Linked DNA regions of Rattus norvegicus. The protein of the gene in region 3 interacts with the protein of the main gene of each other region in a pairwise test. Links are inferred from orthologs where the notes say so. Each region holds a gene or a part of one and is shown on either strand. Other genes may lie near its edges.

Region 1 (6,271 bases), on a different chromosome or scaffold from region 3:
ATAAACTATTCAGAAGTGGAAAGTACTTGCTGCTCTTGCAGAGGACCCAGGATTTGTTCCCAGCATCCACATGGCAGCTTACAAACATCTGTAGCTCGAGTTCCAAGGAATCCAACCCCTTCTTCTGGATTCTGTAGGCACAGTGCACACAGGGTACACAGACACATAGGTAGGCAAACACCCATACCTGTAGTCTCCCCAACCCTTCCCCCGAAAAAAACCAATCAAGCATGCTTGCACACACCTTTAAACCCAACACTCAAAAGCAGAGGCAGGTGTCTCTCTGTGAATTTGAAGCCAGCCTGGTCTACTTAGTAAGTTCCAGGCCAGCCGAGACTACACAGTGAGACCCTATCTCAGAAACAATAATTAAGTTAACTAAATTAAATTTAAAAATCAAAAATGTTGGGTCTGGAGAGATGGCTCAGTGGTCAAGCTGCTCTTCCAGAAGACCCAGGTTCAATTCCCAGGACCCACATGGCGGCTCACAACTGTCTGTAACTCTAGTTCCAGAGGATCTGACACCCTCACACAGACATGCATGCAGTCAAAACACCAATGCACATGAAATAAAAATAAGTAAATCTTTTTTAAAAAAATCAAAGTGTTTATGTTTCTAAGCAATTAATATCAACGTGAAGGGATGATGTCCCAATCCTAAGTGTTAGCGTCCTTCAGGAGAGAAGACTGCAGTGCCCTCCAGAGAGCAGGAAGGCCTAGACTAGGAGAAAGAAGGCCAGGCAGGGTCAAGTCCTGCCTTCCCGTTCAGTTATCCTGAGACCTCTCTGCATCTTTCCTTCTTCATATTTTTTTGTTTTGTTTTTCGAGACAGGGTTTTTTTCTGTGTAGCCCCGGCTATCCTGGAACTCACTCTGTAGACCAGGCTGGCCTCAAACTCAGAGATATGCCTGCCCCTGCCTCCCAAATGTTTCAGCCACTGTTGCCTGGCTTCCTTCTTCGCCTTTTTTTATGTAGAGAAAGTTAGCAGACATGGCAGTATGAGGCTGCAGCCCCAGCCTTGGCTACATAATGAGTGTGAGGCTGAAGTGCTGAGGTAACATGAGCTCTGTCTCTAGAAACAGAAGTCATTAAAATAAACCTGGCCTATTTCATAGGACTTTTATTAACCCCAAAGATGGCACAAAGGGCTGCATCTAACGATTCACGAAAGTTTACTACAGCTCTATTTAAACTACAGAGACAAACCTTTACTTCAAATCTGAGTCAGGCGGCTCTAATAACACAATTTTTAAAAAGCTCTAAGCCATACATGCAGCGTGCCTATAATCCCAGTTCTCAGAAGGGTGCCTCAGTCTGTGGCCAGTCTGGTCTACACAGTGAGTTTCAGGTCAGCCAAGGTCTATACTATGAGGCACTGTCTCAAAAAGGAAGGAGGGGAGGGAATGTAATCTGCATAAATACACCATCACACGGTTTGTCACCTAGAGTAAGGGACTAAATACTTCTAAAGTGAATCTAAATGAAACTAAATGTTTGAAAGGTTGCTGCTCCAAAGTGTATGTTAGAACAGCACAGTGTCTGCGCTGTACTTGGCTTCTCAGGTCCCCCTGAGCCTCACCTCATTCCGTCATCACTTACCAACTTACCATCTTCTTCTCATTCGATATGAAGACAGCGTAGCACTCCTCCAACAGATACTGGTTGTGTGTTTTGATGTATTCACAGAGCTTCCAAATGTTTTCCTCACTGAAACAAAATGATTGCTTAATCAATATAATTACAAGTGAACAGCTGTCTTTTGGATTTAAACAAAAGATGGGTGAGGATATAACTAGAGAAGACCGTAACCGCCTCATCTGACAGCTGGTTAACAGGTGGCTTTGGCACAGCCAACAGCTGCTAGCCCACCTGTACTGGGTGCACACGTGCAGAGGGCCCTTTCCTACCCCAGGAGGCTGACTGAGGCCAGTAAAAACTATGTCAGGACTCCAAAAGCTGAGAAACTCTGGAATCCCAACTCAATCACCACCAGGCAAAGCAGCTATGCAATTCCTTCCTGGCTTCTCCAAACCCTGCTTTTCTCCTCTGTAAAATTCAATCTTACGCCACACTGTCACCTTCCTCAAATCCCAGTACTTGGGAGACAGATCTCTTCCAATTCAAAGCCAGATAGGGCCACATAGTAAGGACCTGTTTCAAAAATAAATAGGGCTGGAGAATTGGCTTGGTGATTGATTAACCATGCCTACTGCTCTTCTAGTTTAATTCTTAGCACCACATCGCAGCTTACAACTGCCTGTAACTCCAGCTTCAGGGGGATCTGACATACTCACAAGCACAAACTCACATACACACTCACATACATATATGAAATTAAAATAAACTGAAAACATTTCCATTTTAAAAAATAAAAAAATCATTTTAAAAGTCCTTTTAGGAGCTGGACAGTGTTGGCACACGTCTTTAATCCCAGCACGGCAGGGGCAGGGGCAGGGGCAGGGGCAGGGGCAGGGGCAGGGGCAGGGGCAGGGGCAGGGGCAGGGGCAGGGGCAGGGGCAGGGGCAGGGGCAGGGGCAGGGGCAGGGCAGGGGCAGGGGCAGGGGCAGGGGCAGAGGCAGAGGCAGAGGCAGGGGCAGGGGCAGAGGCAGAGGCAGAGACAGGCAGATCTCTGGGTTTGAGGCCAGCCTGGTCTACAGACTGAGTTCCGGGACAGCCAGAGCTTTAAAAAAAAAAAAAAAAGGTGGAAACCGAAATTCATCTTCCTATGCTCTGCTCTATCCCAGCCAAATCTCTCCCTATGTGACAGGCAATTAGCTATGTGACATAGTCAGAACCTGCTTAAGCAATGCTCAGGGTATCACACTGAGCCTCCTTCCCAAGCACAGGCAAGCACAGGCACTCCTCCTAGCTGACTTCATGGCTCAGCCTCTGGGTCCCTATCTGTATGTAATGAATCAGATACACCTCTGCTCAGAATAAGCCTCATGAGCGCTCTGCTGGCCCTATCACTCACTGTTAGAGCCAATTTCTACTCATCCACACCTCACTACCTGAGAAAGACAGGAACAGCATGCAGGAAATTTATGAAATTATAGTAAACAAAAAGTATTACAGAAATGTGCTTTTTCTTTTTTTAAAAACTATTTATGCATTTATTTTATGTATACAATTACACTGTAGCTGTCTGCAGACACACCAGCAGAGGACATTAGATCCCATTACAGATGGTTGTGAGCCACCATGTGGTTGCTAGGAATTGAAGCAGCCAGGGCTGCCAACGGCAGAGCTATCTATCTCTCCAGCCCTGAAATACGCTTTTTCGATTACATTTAAAGAGAGAGACACACACAGAGACAGAGAGACAGACAGAGAGACAGACAGACAGACAGACAGAGACAGACAGACACAGAGATTTTTGCATGTCACAGTGCATGTGTGGAAGTCAGAGAACAACTTTTCAGGGACTGTGGGTCCCAGAGATTGAACTCAAGTCTTCCAGTTTGCTGGCTGGTAACTTTAGTCCCCCTTACCCCACCTACACTTTTAAGAAAGATTCAGGGAGGGCAAACTAGCTCAGAGGGTAAAGGCTAAGCCTGAGACCTGCGTGCGCTCCTGGGTATCCAGGAGGAGAAGAGAGAACCAACTCAGGTCCAGTCGTCATTCCTCAGACCACCCATGGACACTCACTCATGGACCAACTATGCTCTAGACATCGCCCTGCAGCTAAATGCTGGAACACTTCCCCCATACCAAGTCCTGTCCCACTGGTTTCGCCTGGAAGCTATGTGGATGAATAGGGGAGACAGATGTAGGGGATCCAGTCACAGAGAGGAAACTGCTTGTGCCCCTCATTACAATGGTCCCAGATTCTTCTTGGGTGCGTTGTAAACAGAGAAGCCACTCTTTAGGCCCTCTGCTCTGAGCACACCCCATAAAATGTTTATCCAAGTTCTGAGAAGACATGTGTTGGTCTGGTCTCACAGGAATTCTGAACTTAACCAGGAGCATCTTCAAGGGCATGAGATACACATCACAGCTAAGTGCTTAGATCATGAATTAATGCCTACAGACCAGAGGCATAGAGGCAAAGCACCAATTATCCCAGGGGGTCCATTAAAGGTGCATAAAGACAGCAGAGGAGGAGTCATTAGTTCAGAGAGATGGGGAAACAGCTTAGGTACAGGCTAGCAGTTTCTCCTTTTTGCCTTGTCCCCGTCTCCATCCTGAAGGTGGTTTGGAGTTAAGGCACCGTTCAAGAGTCTACAAACAGCATTAGCAGGCAGAACTCATGATATGGCTTGAATATACACTGCCCGATATTTCTCAAATTTCTGTGAATGTTACATAGGGAAAAAAATAAAATGTGGCAGTAGTGGTGATACACGCCTTTAATCCCAGCACTCAGGAGGAAGAGTCAGGTGGAGCTCTGAGTTTGAGGCCAGTCTAGTCTACAGATAGAATTTTATGACAGCCAGGGCTACACAGAGAAACCCTGTCTCCAGAAAACAAATAAATAAAAAACTAAATAAAAATAAAAAATGAGGGCTGAACAGATGGCTCAGCGGTTAAGAGCACTGGCTGTTCTTCCAGAGGTCCTGAGTTCAATTCCCAGCAACCACATGATGGCTCACAATCATCTGTAATGGGTTCCAATGCCCTCTTCTGCTGTGTCTGAAGACAGATAGAGTGTACTCATAAATAAAATAAATAAATAAATCTTTAAAAAAAATAAAGTTAAATTAAAAATGAAGCTAAAGGTTCCTTTTTTTAAAAGATTCATTTATTTATTTTATATGAGTACACTATAGCCATCCACGGACACACCAGAAAAGGAAATTGGATTCCCATTACAGATGGTTGTGAACCACCATGTGGTTGCTGGGAATTAAACTCAGGACCTCTGGAAGAACAGCCAGTGCTCTTAACCACTGAGCCATCTCTCCAGCCCTAAAAGTTCCTTTTTCACTAACTTATTTTGAGACAGGATCTAACTGTGTAGCTCTGGCTGGCTTGTTGCCACATAGCCCACTATGTAGACTAGACTAACCTCAAACTCAGAGATCCTCCTGCCTCTGCCTCCAGAGTGCTAAGATTAAAAGCATATGCCACCAAACTCAGTCATTAATTATATTCCATAACACAACTAATACAAAGTTGAGGAATCTCATGAAATTTTTGTTGTTTCGTATTTGAGACAGGATCTGGCCTAGAACTTGCTGTGGAACGGAGGCCAGTCTCTAACTTGAGGTTATCGTCCTGGCCTCTGCCAGAGGGAGCTGGGATTGCAGCCAGTGTTCTAAACAGCTTAGGCCATCTCTCTAGCCCTGCCTTTCCATGAAATGTTTGATGTTAAGGGGGTTGGGAGTGAGGTCCTTACATTTGGAAATGCTGGGAGCTACAGTAGGAATAGAAAGTACTCTGCATTTGCCCAGGCCCTGGAATCTACTTAACTGTTAAATGGAAACTAAAACAGGGAGTGGTGATGATAACATCTCCAGGATATCAGTTGATCTTATCCCTAGCAAAAGGGCTACGAAAGCAACAAAGAGCTGAGACTGCAGCCCGCGTAACCCATGAGCTGAATTTGGAGAAGCAGACACAGTGAAGCACCTAGCCCAGGGCAATGTGAAATGCAATGTAAAGTGCTGGGGGCGGGGTGTGTGTGGGAAGTCCTCAATGACAATGCTAGACAAACTCAAGACCCTTTGGGGTTCAATACTTAAGCACTGGGATAGGGATGGGGAGGAAAACCTGCAAAACCACACAGTCCCACACATCTTAGCTACCATTCTCATCATTAAGTAGGATCTGGAAAGAACAGTAACATCTAACAGAACACAGACTGCAGAAGCAGCATTTATTTCAAGACAGAAGAACTGGGAGAAACAATGCAGTTAGGTGTGCCTACGGACAAGCCAATCACAGCAGGACAAGGTCTAGAGACCTGTTTGTCACAGCTGGGGGGTGGGGTAGGGGGCCTGGTAACAGCATCTATCTCACACAGGACAAAAATGCTATAAAACACACTAAAAGAAGAATTGATATTCAAAATGCCAACAAGTCAAGGCTAGGAACCCTGCAAAAGGGAAGAGAAGGCAGGTTCAAAATGAAGTTGTAAGGACGCAGGCCTGGGAAAAACAAACCGGCTAGTCTGTGGTGCTCAGAAGCAGACTCTGTGGTCTCTAAGTCTATCCCACAAAATATGATCAGCAAGCCTGGCATGGTGGCATGGGTTTTTAATCCCAGCACTCAGGCAGGTATGCTTCTGTGAGCTGGAGGCCAGCCTGGTTTACATAGTGAGTTCTTGGAC
Region 2 (5,951 bases), on a different chromosome or scaffold from region 3:
AGTCTCAGCTACATAGCAAGTTCAAAGCCAACATAGCTACATAAGTCCCTATCTCAAAATAAAACAGATTTTTAATGGAGGGAAGAACTAACCATTTATAAACTCATGAAATAGCACCATAGGAATGGCGATGCATGAGATAATAAAATTTTCCATAAGACTTAGTCAATGTTACATGATAGTTGCAGAATTTTTTAATTATTTCCTTTATGTGGCTGCCAAATTGTGACTTTTAAGAAACGAAAGTTGCTGGAGGCACTTTGATCCTCGCTTTGTGGCCACACACTTGCAAATGCAGTACTTATCTTGCCTTCCATTCCAGAATGAGCATTCACTGAATTGGGGCTCTTTCCAGAGTGATTTCAAAACGTTTGAACAGTTTGGAGCTCACAGTGCCCAAAGTCATGCTGACACCACCTGTTCTTTTGCCTCATCTGATTAGGGGAGACAATAGAAGACGCTGTGCGGAGAGAGGTAGGAGAGGAAAGTGGAGTCAAAGTTGGCCATGTTCAGTATGTCTCTTGTCAGCCGTGGCCAATGCCCTCCTCTTTAATGATTGGCTGTTTAGCTGTGGCAGTGTCTACAGAAATTAAAGTTGACAAGAATGAAATAGAGGATGCCCGATGGTTCACTAGAGAACAGGTAAAGTTCAATTTAATTTCCTTGTTGTATTGATTGTTCCACGATAGTATTGGTTTGGGCATGCCGCATGGAAGCATATTTTCAGCAAGTCGAACGGATGGCTGCAGCCCCCTCATTATGAATGGATTATAATGTAACTGACGGTTCCGGATAGAAAATGTGCGTTGTTAATGTGTCCCCCGACTCATTCCGCGAGATTCTTCTAAAACGATGCTGCTGTGCCAGTTCAGATTTCACATGTTGGACCTATTGATGAATGAATGCTAATCCCTTTCAGTGAATTAAAGTCTTCATGTTAGTTCAGACATCACAAATATTAATCTCAGACCTTTATGTTAAAGCCAATAGCTTTCAAAAAGAAGTCGGTAAAATGCTTGAAGTTTTTGTGTATTTTGAAAGCTAGTGCTGAAGCACATGAGTTACCAAGAGCTTGAGAGCAATACGTGGTGAGTCCCAGGCCTGGACTGAATAACAAGACTCCGTCTTTAAAATAATATATATGGGATGTGTGTGTGTGTGTGTGTGTGTGTGTGTGTATGAAGTACAAAGAAAGAAAATAAATGAAAGGCACAAAAAACATAGATGTCACTAAATACATAGATATATGTCATAATTGTCATAATATATATTTATAAGAACTTTTAAAAGTTATACCTCTAGGTCACAAAGATAAATAATTGAAATGTTTCAAAAATTGTATAGAAAATGAACACAATATATATTAAAAATGAAGACTCGTTTATGGCTTTGTCCACACGAAATTAATTGTTATCTTATATTCACTAAAGAAATCAGATTGTTGTTTCAGAATTGTGGGAAAAGGACCCCATACCAACAGCTTGTCTTCCCTTTGAAGTTAAATGCAGGACATATATTTTATCCATGGCCTTGATTTCATATGCCTTTCTGAAACATTGAAAAATTGAAAACGGGATTCACTGCAGAACTGGGAGCGCTACATTAGCTGGCCTCTAACGAGTTCATTATGACTGTGTTTCAGGTGGTGGATGTTCTTACCAAAGGGAAGCAGCAAGCATTCTTCGTGCCACCAAGCCGAGCTATTGCACATCAGTTAATCAAGCACTGGGTTGGCATGAACCCCAGTCTCTAAATGAAAAATGCTAGCCTCTGTCGAGTATCACCTAATTTTTAACACTACTTATATATCAAGAAAGAGTAGATATATGTACTGATCTTTAGAACCTTTTAACGTAAAACTTGGGAGCTTCAAAAATGTTTTCAGGTTCTTTCCATTATTAATTACAAAATTCACAGTTTTATAAACTGGAATGATGCCTCAAATTTTTTCATAAATTCGGAGGCAGCCTGTGAACATTTTTGTTGTGTTTCCCAATTTTATCTCAGAAAACTAATTGTTTGTCTACCAAGAAAGATCATGTTGGGATGAAGTGTGCTCCAGAAATGAGGTAAACCTTAATCTTTGTAAAGAGTGGACCCCTTGTTGGAGATATTTGTCAAGATAACTTTGGTGACTTTTGAGCGTCCGTAATATTTAATCATCTAATTATTATCTTCCTGGTCTTTTGTCTACTGGTAGTACTGTTGTACTATTAGTCCTAGTTTGATATGACCAGTGTTGAAAATTATTTTATAATTATAATAATTAATGTCAGTATTCACTTATGAAATACAGTAGCTTGGCACCAACCTTTCTCATCAGATCCTCAGAGCCTTAAGTAGCACACCTTAGAATGGGGCTGCTCAGCTCTATGGATAGTTAGTGCAGTGTTTCAGTTTTACAATATAGATGCATATATTTTACTTGATTGTCCTGCAGTTGTCTTAACTACATAAATTTACATATGTTGCCTCTTTACTAGTCTGGTAGAACTTGAAGAGAGCATGAACACAATAGATGTTGAACATCATCATTTTAATAGTATGCATCTAAGACCTAGATCTCCAGTGCAGTAGGAAACAGAAGCTATTACTAAAAGTGTCTGTAGACTAAGGAGCCAGAAAAATGGCTCTGTCATTAAGGTGCTTGCTGTGCAAGCATGAGTCCTTGAGTTCAGATTCTCTGCAACGGTTTCAAAAGCTGTGTTCAGTACCATCCAACTCTAACCCCAAACCTAAAGAGGCAGAGATGTGAGTATCCCGAGGGCTTGTTGGCCAGTCAGTCTGGTGAATCACTAATTGGAATAACAGACCTTGTCTCAAAACGTAAGGTGGAAAGATGGAGATGGATCCAATGTGAAGAGCACCTGTCATTCCTGTGGAGGACCAGGGTTTAGTTCCCAAGATCCTCCTCAGGCAGGACACAACCCCCCTGCAGCTACAACTTCAGGGGATCCAACACCCTCTTCTGGCCTCTGCAAGCATCTGCATGAGCATTTAATGAAGACACAGACACATAAATAGAAAGATTGAAGAATACACCTGACTTCTGTCTCTGCCCTACACCCCCCTACACACACACACACACACGTGTGTGCACACATTCCCACACACATGTGTGCACACATTCCCACACACAGGCACACACACACAATAAGTGAAAAAACTGATGATAGGAAGAATGAACTTAGCTTATCAGATGTTTTTAATTGAAAATTTAAGTATAAGGCTTAACATTTATTTAACCTAAATAATGTAACTTTCTTAGAGAATTTACTTTACTAATGAATACTGTTGCTTAGCAGTTAATGAAGGCTTTATTAAAATCAGTGCTTTGACCAAAATAGGACCTACACAGAACATTTATATATGTGGTAATTTGGACCTATATAATTATGTTAAAAGTTATACTTTGAGTATTATGAAATATGATCAGCTAAAGTTCATCTTTGCTCCAAACATGCTTTTAATATTTGTCTATTCTTATATAATGTTGTAAACTCTCCACGTCCATAATGTTAAATAGCAAAGTAAAATACACATGTTAAAAATGTACAAATTTAGTTTCAAATTCCTACTGTACTTGGGAAAATTAGTGAGTAAATTACTGTGTTTAATAATCATTCCTAAGTTTTGACATTGGAGAGGTGAGGATGCACTGTAAATTTGAAAGGTTGCTTTCTTAGCCAGTTCTGGAGGGGCATTAGATACTAATGTAACAACACATTAAATGTACTCTGTGTATTGTATGTGTTTTAAATGTTTTGATGAATTTTTTGACACAAGTATAAATTTTAGCCTGTATCATTGGTTTATTAATGGTGTTCATAAGCAAATGTACAAATCTCTCTCTTTTGTTTTTGAGCTTTGATTTCACTGTAGCCCAACGTATATAATTCTTGGATTACAGGTGGGATCCACCATATCTGGCAAAAGAATTAAAATTTTGATTTGGTGCACAAATGTAGCCCAAGAGTAATTTACTTGTGCAATGCCTCCAAGGTATTGGGTTTAAACCAAAGCTTTTTTTTAATGACTATTTTGAATCTTAAGTTTTGTAGTTTGGGGTAAAATGTGTCAACAAATGGGTTTGTGAGATCTTACGTTGTGAATAATTAAAGTCTTCAGACTTAAAGCTATGTATGTAGCACAGTCTACCTTAATTACTTGTCTACTGTGGTCAATATTTGCACTTTGAAATATTCACTTGTTTGTAGTTTGCGATGAATTGAAAGCTCACAGCCTGACCTGGCAAAGCAAGCCTGTAATTGCTGTTAATCAGGCTGAAGGCTGGAGGAATGCAAATTCAAGACCTGCCTAACAGCAAAGTGACTTTGAAACCACACTGAACAACCTAGTGAGATCCCATCTAAATTAAGAATTAAGAAACAAGGTAAGGATATTGCCCAAAGATAGAACACTCACAGGTCACATGATTCAATACACAATAACATACACATACATTCACAGCACTTAAAACTTACATTGGTATGGAAATTAGCCTGTTAAAGATACATGTAGGGGTTGGGGATTTGGCTCAGTGGCAGAGCGCTTGCCTAGGAAGCACAAGGCCCTGGGTTCGGTCCCCAGCTCCGAAAAAAAGAACCAAAAAAAAAAAAAAAAAAAAGATACATGTAGGTATCTTTAACATCCATGGGTAAAGAGAAGACAGAATGGAAAAATGTGAGACCACAAGACAAAAGGAGGAACCGCAAGCTTTGATGACACAAGAGACTATGGGAGCTAGGACTATTTTAAGGAGGCAAAGGTTGTATGTCACGTGGGCAAATGCCTGAATTTTCCCAAAGTTGTCGAATAGGTAAGAACTGCAGAAAGTAATGTGAAAATAAATACCAAGTTCAATCCTCCCTCTTCTATATCATTCTTTGTTCTCTCCCTTCTTCAAATACTAGGGTAGAAATCAAACATTTTCCAAAAGAAAACACTGATTTATTTTTTTTTTATTTTTCATTCTTTCTATGGTTTCATAGATGGATGCGTGTAATGAAATATAACTACTTCCCATCTCTGTCTTTCATTTCCTCCCTCTTCTTATAACAAATCTTTTGTCCCCTTTTGTGTGTGAGCCGTGAGTTTAATTGAAGTTGCTTGAGTGACCTTGAGTGTGGGGTTATTTACTGGAGGATGGGCAACATCTCAGTGACTATACCACTGAAGAAAATCACACACACACACACACACACACACACACACACACACACACCTGACTCCACCCACAGACCCCCAACCCCAAGCCAACATCAACTGGCAATAGTCTCTCAGGGAGAATTGAGGACTCCTGGCCCTCTCTCCATCTATGCTGAAATGCTGATTAAATTTTGTGCAGAATCTTGTTATACATAGCAGATTTTCAAATAATTTTTTGTTATTTAAAAAAATGGTCAAAGATGGCATAGGGAAATGTGTAATCATCAACCTAAATTCTTTTTGAAAAGTATTAATTTTCAGCTGCAAAATAAGCATCTAGACATGAAAACTGAACCAATATAGAAATGGCTTATTCTGTTTCACTAAAAGGGTATCCACTGCCAGGCTCAGCATGGCCAAAGAAGGGACATTATGACAGGGTTCCTGCCCCTGGGGCAGAGCTAGCAGGGTGGGGGTCTTCTCCAGTGCTGATATTTGCTGTAGGCATAAGGCTTGTTTATATAATAATGTATATAATTTTTTAATATTCCTCATTTGGGGAATATTCTCCCTGCCAAGTTTATCTCACATTGTTCTCCCTACTCCATGATAATGAGAAACAGCATGATTCCAGGAAGCAAGAAAGTGTCTGGTGTTCCTTGGCAAAATCATCAACACACTGTTCTTCAGAATAGCCCTTAAGGCTGTAGGAAAAAACTCTGAAAACATGAGTTCAAGAATATATTAAGCAATGTAAGAACTGTTTTTAATAGGATTTCTCAACTATGCAAAATATAAGGATG
Region 3 (6,781 bases):
AAACAGCAATCTTCAAAATCAGACATTTTAACACAATAAAAATCTGAGGATATACTAATTTGACACTTCCGTGAAGACAATGACGGGAGATAGTTAAAATGTTTTATAATCAAGCTACTGTATTTTAATAAGAGAAGAACGTCTTGTATACAACAAAACTCTGCAGTTCACAGTAGACAGTGTAGCTGGTGTACTGCCGAGGCTTCTCAGACATTACTCATTGGTGTTGCTTGGTGTGACAACAGACACGGGCCAGTGCTCATATCCTGTATTCAAATACCAGGCTGCAGTGATGCCTTATGAGGCAACACAGGCTCAGTGTTGCCAGACACATTTCAAATTCACCGAATGCTGGATTTTGAATAAAGTTTGGTGATCACATGTTCAGAAACCTTTTATGATTGTCAATTTAACAAAGATTTAGCTGTTTGTTTGTTTGTTTGTTTTTGTTTGAATTATGTGTACTGCTGTTTTACTTGTATGTATGTTTTCATACCACATCAGAGAGTCCATGGAGGCCAGAGGGCATCAGCTCCCTGGAACTAGAAGAGATGGTTGTGAGCCACACTGTGGGTGCTGGGAATTGAACCTAGGTTCCCTGGGAGAGCCACCAGTGCTCTTAACAGTTGAGCCATCTCTTCAGCCCCTGTTGCAAAAATTTTCATAACCCACATCCTACCACCAGTTACATGATCCCATATGGGGTTAAAGCCAACAGTTTTAAAAGCTGGGTCTTGGTTAATGATGTCATCTTTTCTTTTCTAGTTCAACTGAGAGCTTTGAGGTTTTCCATGCTTCCTCGCTCTCTACAATTAAGGCTGTTGTTATCTCCCAAGTGTTCTACAAGTGTAGTAGCATTCTGACTAATTCCCGTCTCCAGAATCTCTCCCCTCCCCGTAGCCACCAGATCTTCCTTTACACAGATCTGAGAGCATTGCTCCTATGTTTAAACCTATTTTTTGACTTCTAATTAATCGTAAAGTCCAGATGCTCAGGTGTGGCATATAAAAGCCTTCACATCCCAGCCCAAACCTACTTTCCTGGTCCTGTTCTTTGCCTCTGATCTCATTACAGTTCTTGCTTTTAACCACATCAAATTGTGATGCAGGGAGGCTTGGGTCTGATCTTGTCGTGTGCTCTCATGCCTTGTGCCTTTACTGTTACCTTGAATGCTCTCTCTCTCTCTCTCTCACACACACACACTCTTTGTCTTGTAAAATTCCATCTATTCTTCAAAACTATCACCACCTGCCCCCCTTTTCTTTTTTTGTGGGGCTGAGGACTAAATCCAGGCATGCATGCTAAACAAGTGTTCTACCCTTGAGCCCAGCCCTATCATCTCTGTCTTTCTAGCATCTGGCTCTCGCTACTTGTACTGCATTGCTGTGTGATAGTATACTTTTTTTTTGAATGTATATGTCTCTGCATATACACGTGCACATGGATGAGTGCCCATGGTAGCCAGAAGGAAGATTTGGTTGAATCCATTAGAACTGGACTTACAGTTTTCTGACTTGGGTGTTGGGAACCAAACTTGGGTCCCTAGGAAGAGCAGCAAGTGCTTTTATCGGCTGAGCCATCTCCTAGTTCCACATCATGAATCTCTTGCTGACAAGATTAAAGTTTTTAATTTTCATATCATCAGAACCTTGCTGAGGACCTGTTACACTGCATGCAGTTTTATTCTTTGAATTGGGCAGGAAGTTTGAACATCGTGTGTGTGTGTGTGTGTGTGTGTGTGTGTGTGTGTGTGTGTGTGTAAGGACCTATGATTTCTTTCAGCATGAGTTTTACCTTGTTTCTTTTTTTCTTCAGAAAATGGAAAAAAAAATCACAGAATAGGGTAGTTGATGGGCTCCCTTGGAGATGGTTGCTATGTCGAATGTCAGGTTTTTAGCTAAGTCTGTCAGGGACATAGAGACTGAATTCTCAATGTCAGATGGGTGTCTGCATGTGGCTCTTTCCAGATATCAGAATTCCTCTGAACTACGGATGATTATCGATTCAAGACTTAGGTTTTAGACTCCCTGGAAAAATCTGAATAGTAAGGTTATAGTGTGCAGTTTGTACTTATTTTATATGCAGTGAATTCCCCGTGTCTTGAAAAACTGATTCGTTATCTTGAAGAGAGAGAGAGAGAGAGAGAGAGAGAGAGAGAGAGAGAGAGAATATGTGTGATTTTGTAGATATTGCCCAAAAAAAAAAAAAAAAAAAAAAAAAGCATGAAACTGACGTAATCATTCTTCTTAGCCCAAGCTGGGCTCAGTAGGAACCACTCATGAGCCTTGCAAAACCCAGAATGTGTAGATGAAATGAACAGATGTGTATTTGTAGAACCGTGGTAGTAGCTTATGGGTGGGTGGGAAAGAGATTTGTTCCAAAATCCTTTCAAATACAAGAACTTCGTTCTTACTAGACTCCAAGCAACAAGTTGCAATTGGAAAAAAATGAACAGATGGGTCAGCTAAGGGCCTACAGAAAAAGCCTTTGGGTGGATTTCTTGAGATCTGCCAACCCATACTGAGGTCCCGTGGCTAATTTTGGGTCCCTCAGTTCCTTTTCACCTCATGAAACCTCTTTCTGGCTTCTCAAAAGAGTTCTGGGCATCACTTTCCCCAGTGCTAGACAGTGAGGGATCTGGGCTTATCAGCACAGAACCCTCAGTCTCCTTCCTCTAGGAGCTTCCAGGAGGGCGCCCTTATAGCCAGGAAGAGGAATCACAGATGGCGGAGGGTGTAGCCGAGTCGAAGAGTGAGCAATGCTGGTAGTGGGGGCTGCAATCGTGGGTGGCTTCACCCAGCAGCTCCGGCTCCCGGGCTACAGTGCTGGCCCTAGCGTCAGAAAGGCCGCCCCTGTCGGCCCTCCTCCCGGGCGGGGCCAGCCCCGACGGCGCTGACTCAGCAACGCGAGGGGGGAGTTTTGTCCCTCCGCGGACCCCGTTTCTCTCGGCCACCATTGAGCGGGTTTCCTTCTTCCGGCGCTTTGGGTGCGAGAACCAGGTCCGGCCAGCTAGGCAGCGGGTTGTAGTATAACCCCGGAGCTCACCTGAGGACCCTGAAAACTAACGTTTTCCCACGAGGCAGTTTGGGCACCATGAACAACGCAGGTGAGACACTGCTTGTACCACGAGTGCTTTCCGGGATCCTCTCCCGGGCTCCGCAGATCCCTGAGGCCCGGTGGCGCGAAAGGCCGTGGGATGGGGGTTAGACTAGGTGAGGGCGGGAGAGCACCAGGAGGGAGACATCTCGTGGAGAGGATGCCCCGGGAAAGGGTTTTCTGGGTTCAGCACTCTGCAGGATGCTCTTGCGAAGTTAAATCTAGGATCTACAGTGACCCTATCCTAAAGCTGTCCCCGTCAGCCTCTTTGGGAGGGGGTATAATTATAATGGCATTTGATTTCCCCACAGGACTAAATTCGGAGAAGGTAGCTGCTTTGATCCAGAAACTAAATTCTGACCCTCAGTTCGTACTTGCCCAGAATGTCGGGACCACCCACGATCTGCTGGACATTTGTCTGAAGAGGGCCACAGTCCAGGGTGCTCAGCATGTGTTCCAGCACGTTGTGCCTCAGGAAGGCAAGCCAGTCACCAACCAGAAGAGCTCTGGTGAGGTCTTCGACTTCTTGCCTACTTTACTGACAGCAGCCTATTTTGTCGTCCTAAAAAACGGCCTTGGGATAATAGAGCTTTGTTGCATTGAAAGAACTTGTAGTAAGAGAATAGGTACAAAAAAAAAAAAAAAAAAAAAAAAAAAAAAAAAAAAAAAGGGGCAGGCCCAAGAACATTACCTGTGTGGCAGCTTCGGTGTTGTATGGCCTGTTAGCTTTTAGTTTGTTTCCTAACGTGACAGATGATGGTCTTTGAATGTGTATCACCATGCTGTTTTGATATTACATGATGTTGGATATGTGCAATTTGTCTTCTTGCAATTTTTAATTGTAACAGTTCATCTAGAAGTAGCAGAAGATCGAAACAGCTTACAGGGGAGAGGTTGCATACAGACAAACCTAAAGCAGAGATGAGCTGTGTACTGACAGATTTGGCCTGTGCCCTTGATCACAAATAATCAATGGAAAAATATCCATACCATAGAAGATGTCCCAGAATTGCCCTGAAATAAAAATGCATAAAATAGAAAAAAAAAAAAAACCCAGTAAGGTGACTACAACAAAGGGTCACTATTTTTAAATGTGCTCTGTGGTGGCAGTTGGAGTTGCCGTGCTCATAGGTCAGTTCCTGTCGGTAGTTACTTTGTAGTGTTCTGCGTTCTCATTCCTTGCTGGCTGAGAAGTCTTGTTTTGCTGTCTGCTGTCCAGTTACAACTGTTAGAAATATATCTACACTGAGAGATTGCTTATCTAGGAATCCAAACAGGAGAAATAGTCTCAAAAAAATTGAACTCAAGGGACCTTGCATCTTTTTTCTTTATTTGGACACTACCCCAGGACCATGTGTCTGGACAGAAAATACAGTATTGTTACTTAAAGCAACTCAAAGCACAAAGGATACATTTAACGTGGGTAATGTTTTGCTGTAAGTGAATTATACCATAGTAAATTTGATTTTTTAAATTTTAAAGGAAAAATATATGCCCTTCCAATAATCTTCTTAAGTGGCAGAAAGAACTTAGCATTTACAGGCCTTGGTTCAGAAGGACTTGGGGTGTGTGGTCTGTCAGGCTAGTTAATGTGTCACAATAATCTTCCATGGTCTGATTGCAGTCTCTTAGGGTAAGCTTGGACATTGTTAATCTGGAGCAGGTCAGGTCTTATGTGGTGTATCACTTGACTCCAAATACTAATAGTGTATGAGCATAGCAGTAACAATGTAATTTGATTTCATGAAGTATTTGTCTTAATAGCTCACCCAGGAGTAGCAGAAATAGGAATAGTGTGTAGGAGAGAGGCAGTGTACAGATAAGCCTAAAACAAAAATGACTCTCTTCAGAAGCACAATTTAATTTTTTTTCTTTGTTACAGAATCATTTTTGTTCAGTGTAAAAAAATCTGCAAAGCACCAGTAGGGGAGTGGTTTATTCTGTTTATCCATCAAGTCTATTCTCCGTATGAGTGCTTTTAATATGAGAGCAGACTTTAGGAATTTTTATATTTGCCTTTTAGAAACCTTCTCATTTGCCTATGTGTTGGAGGCATGGTTTCGTGCCTGTGAAAATATTATATCCACGTATGTCAAGAATTACCCTTTAAATTTTCCTCTAGGAGAGTGCTACCCTTAATTCAAGGCCTCACAGAGGCTCTCAGTGTTTTCTAGCTCACCTCACAGCAGAGCTGTGCTTTGGTAAAGGCATCACTCTGAAGTTACCCTAGTCTACACTAGTGTGGACTGCTCCCAGAGATTAGATTCCCTCAGTTTTGAAAGGCAAAGTATTTGAATGTAATAAAGACATGACCTCACTTAGAAATGATGGGTGTCATTGGAAATAGACCTTTAAAAACTCAAATTGATACAGAAAGCGGTAAATTGCAGAAGCTTTGATTATGCATTTACAGAGGCAAATGAAAACATGATTATGCTCTTAATGCTTGTCATAAAATCTTCAGGGACGCTATCATGTGTGGGTTTAGAACTTTGCTGTGTCAGAAACATACTAAATGGAGGAATGGTAGTGTGCTGTGGTTGAAAATTCGGATCTAATGGTGGCAGAGATTCTGATGACCAGGTGCATACAGAAGGTATGGAGCTGGGGAAACTGAGTGGGAAAGTAGAGAAAGAGCCCTCTTGGTAGCCTCCTCCTACCTCCACTTCCCAGTGTTGGGATTACAGGCATGCACTAACTACATGTCTAGTTTATGCAGTGCTGAGGATGAAGCCAGGGTTTTACTGCGTGCTAGTTAGGCTTTCTGCCAACTGAGCCACATCTCTGTCCTGGAGCAGTGGTGCCTCTTAGCATGATTTTGTTGTTGTTAACATGACTTTAAGAAACAAATACTTTTTTTTTCATTTATGTCTCAAGTTTTAAATTATTATATTTTAACTCTTAGACTGAAGTGATCCTCCTGCTTCCTTCCTCCTAGACTTACTTACCATGTGTATTTAAATGTTTATATAACCCAGTTAGTTAAATACCACCTTTAAAATGCAACAACTCATTAGTGAGAAAATAGCTTCTGTTAAGCTTAGCACTCACTGTAGGATGAGTGCTATTCCAATTTAAGGTTTTTGTTCATTCCAAATTAAGAGTTTTGTTCCCAAATCAATCTCAGGTGATTTGCATCTCCTTAGCGCTCTCTGTCCAGAAGCACAATGCTTATTTTTTCCAAGTTCTCAACAATTTGGGCATTGTCAAAAAGAAGGACGTTTTCCCACTTTACTAATGTCTTATGAAGAACTTAAAAAAACCAAAGCATCTTTACCTTCTGCGTCTTTTTTGGACATCATGTCATCTATTCATGATCTCTGTTCATTTTTTTTTCAGTGTTTCTAGGTTATCCTAGAACTCACTACATTATCCAGGCTAACCTTGAACTCATAGTAATCTTCTTGCCTCAGCCTCCCAAGTACTGGGGTCACAGGTATGTGCCACCATGCCTAACCTAGAAGTTCTCTCTCTCTCTCTCCCTCTCTCTCTCTCTCTCTCTCTCTCTCTCTCTCTCTTATGTGTGTGTGTTAAAAATACTAAACCTCTCTGTGTGACTACACATCTTTTGTTTTGCTTCGGATTTAATATTTCTGTTCTGGGTTGAGGATGTAGCTAAGTTGGTGGAATGCCTAGCATGCACGAATTCCTGTATCACATCAAGCCAAGCATGGTGACATATATA

What was found.
Region 1: the proteins of Blmh (region 3) and Ntaq1 interact in binary tests that used the Homo sapiens proteins (3 or more experiments, as listed by UniProt). The two-hybrid records come from large-scale screens. The link is inferred for Rattus norvegicus from reciprocal best matches to the Homo sapiens genes BLMH and NTAQ1.
Region 2: the proteins of Blmh (region 3) and Nudt12 interact in binary tests that used the Homo sapiens proteins (3 or more experiments, as listed by UniProt). The two-hybrid records come from large-scale screens. The link is inferred for Rattus norvegicus from reciprocal best matches to the Homo sapiens genes BLMH and NUDT12.

The regions. Positions count from the first base shown.
Region 1 is NC_086025.1:91,578,902-91,585,172, reverse strand, and holds part of Ntaq1 (protein N-terminal glutamine amidohydrolase), read right to left. Parts: intron 3,893-6,271; exon of another isoform or gene 3,766-3,892; intron 1,708-3,765; coding exon 1,608-1,707; coding exon of another isoform or gene 1,600-1,607; intron 132-1,599; coding exon of another isoform or gene 27-131; intron 1-26. UniProt on the Homo sapiens protein: Mediates the side-chain deamidation of N-terminal glutamine residues to glutamate, an important step in N-end rule pathway of protein degradation.
Region 2 is NC_086027.1:106,187,847-106,193,797, reverse strand, and holds the end of Nudt12 (NAD-capped RNA hydrolase NUDT12), read left to right. Parts: intron 1-442; coding exon 443-642; intron 643-1,642; coding exon 1,643-1,753; coding exon of another isoform or gene 1,754-1,767; 3' UTR 1,768-4,137; downstream 4,138-5,951. UniProt on the Homo sapiens protein: mRNA decapping enzyme that specifically removes the nicotinamide adenine dinucleotide (NAD) cap from a subset of mRNAs by hydrolyzing the diphosphate linkage to produce nicotinamide mononucleotide (NMN) and 5' monophosphate mRNA.
Region 3 is NC_086028.1:62,267,351-62,274,131, forward strand, and holds the start of Blmh (bleomycin hydrolase), read left to right. Parts: upstream 1-2,918; 5' UTR 2,919-3,093; coding exon 3,094-3,106; intron 3,107-3,407; coding exon 3,408-3,605; intron 3,606-6,781. UniProt on the Homo sapiens protein: The normal physiological role of BLM hydrolase is unknown, but it catalyzes the inactivation of the antitumor drug BLM (a glycopeptide) by hydrolyzing the carboxamide bond of its B-aminoalaninamide moiety thus protecting normal and malignant cells from BLM toxicity.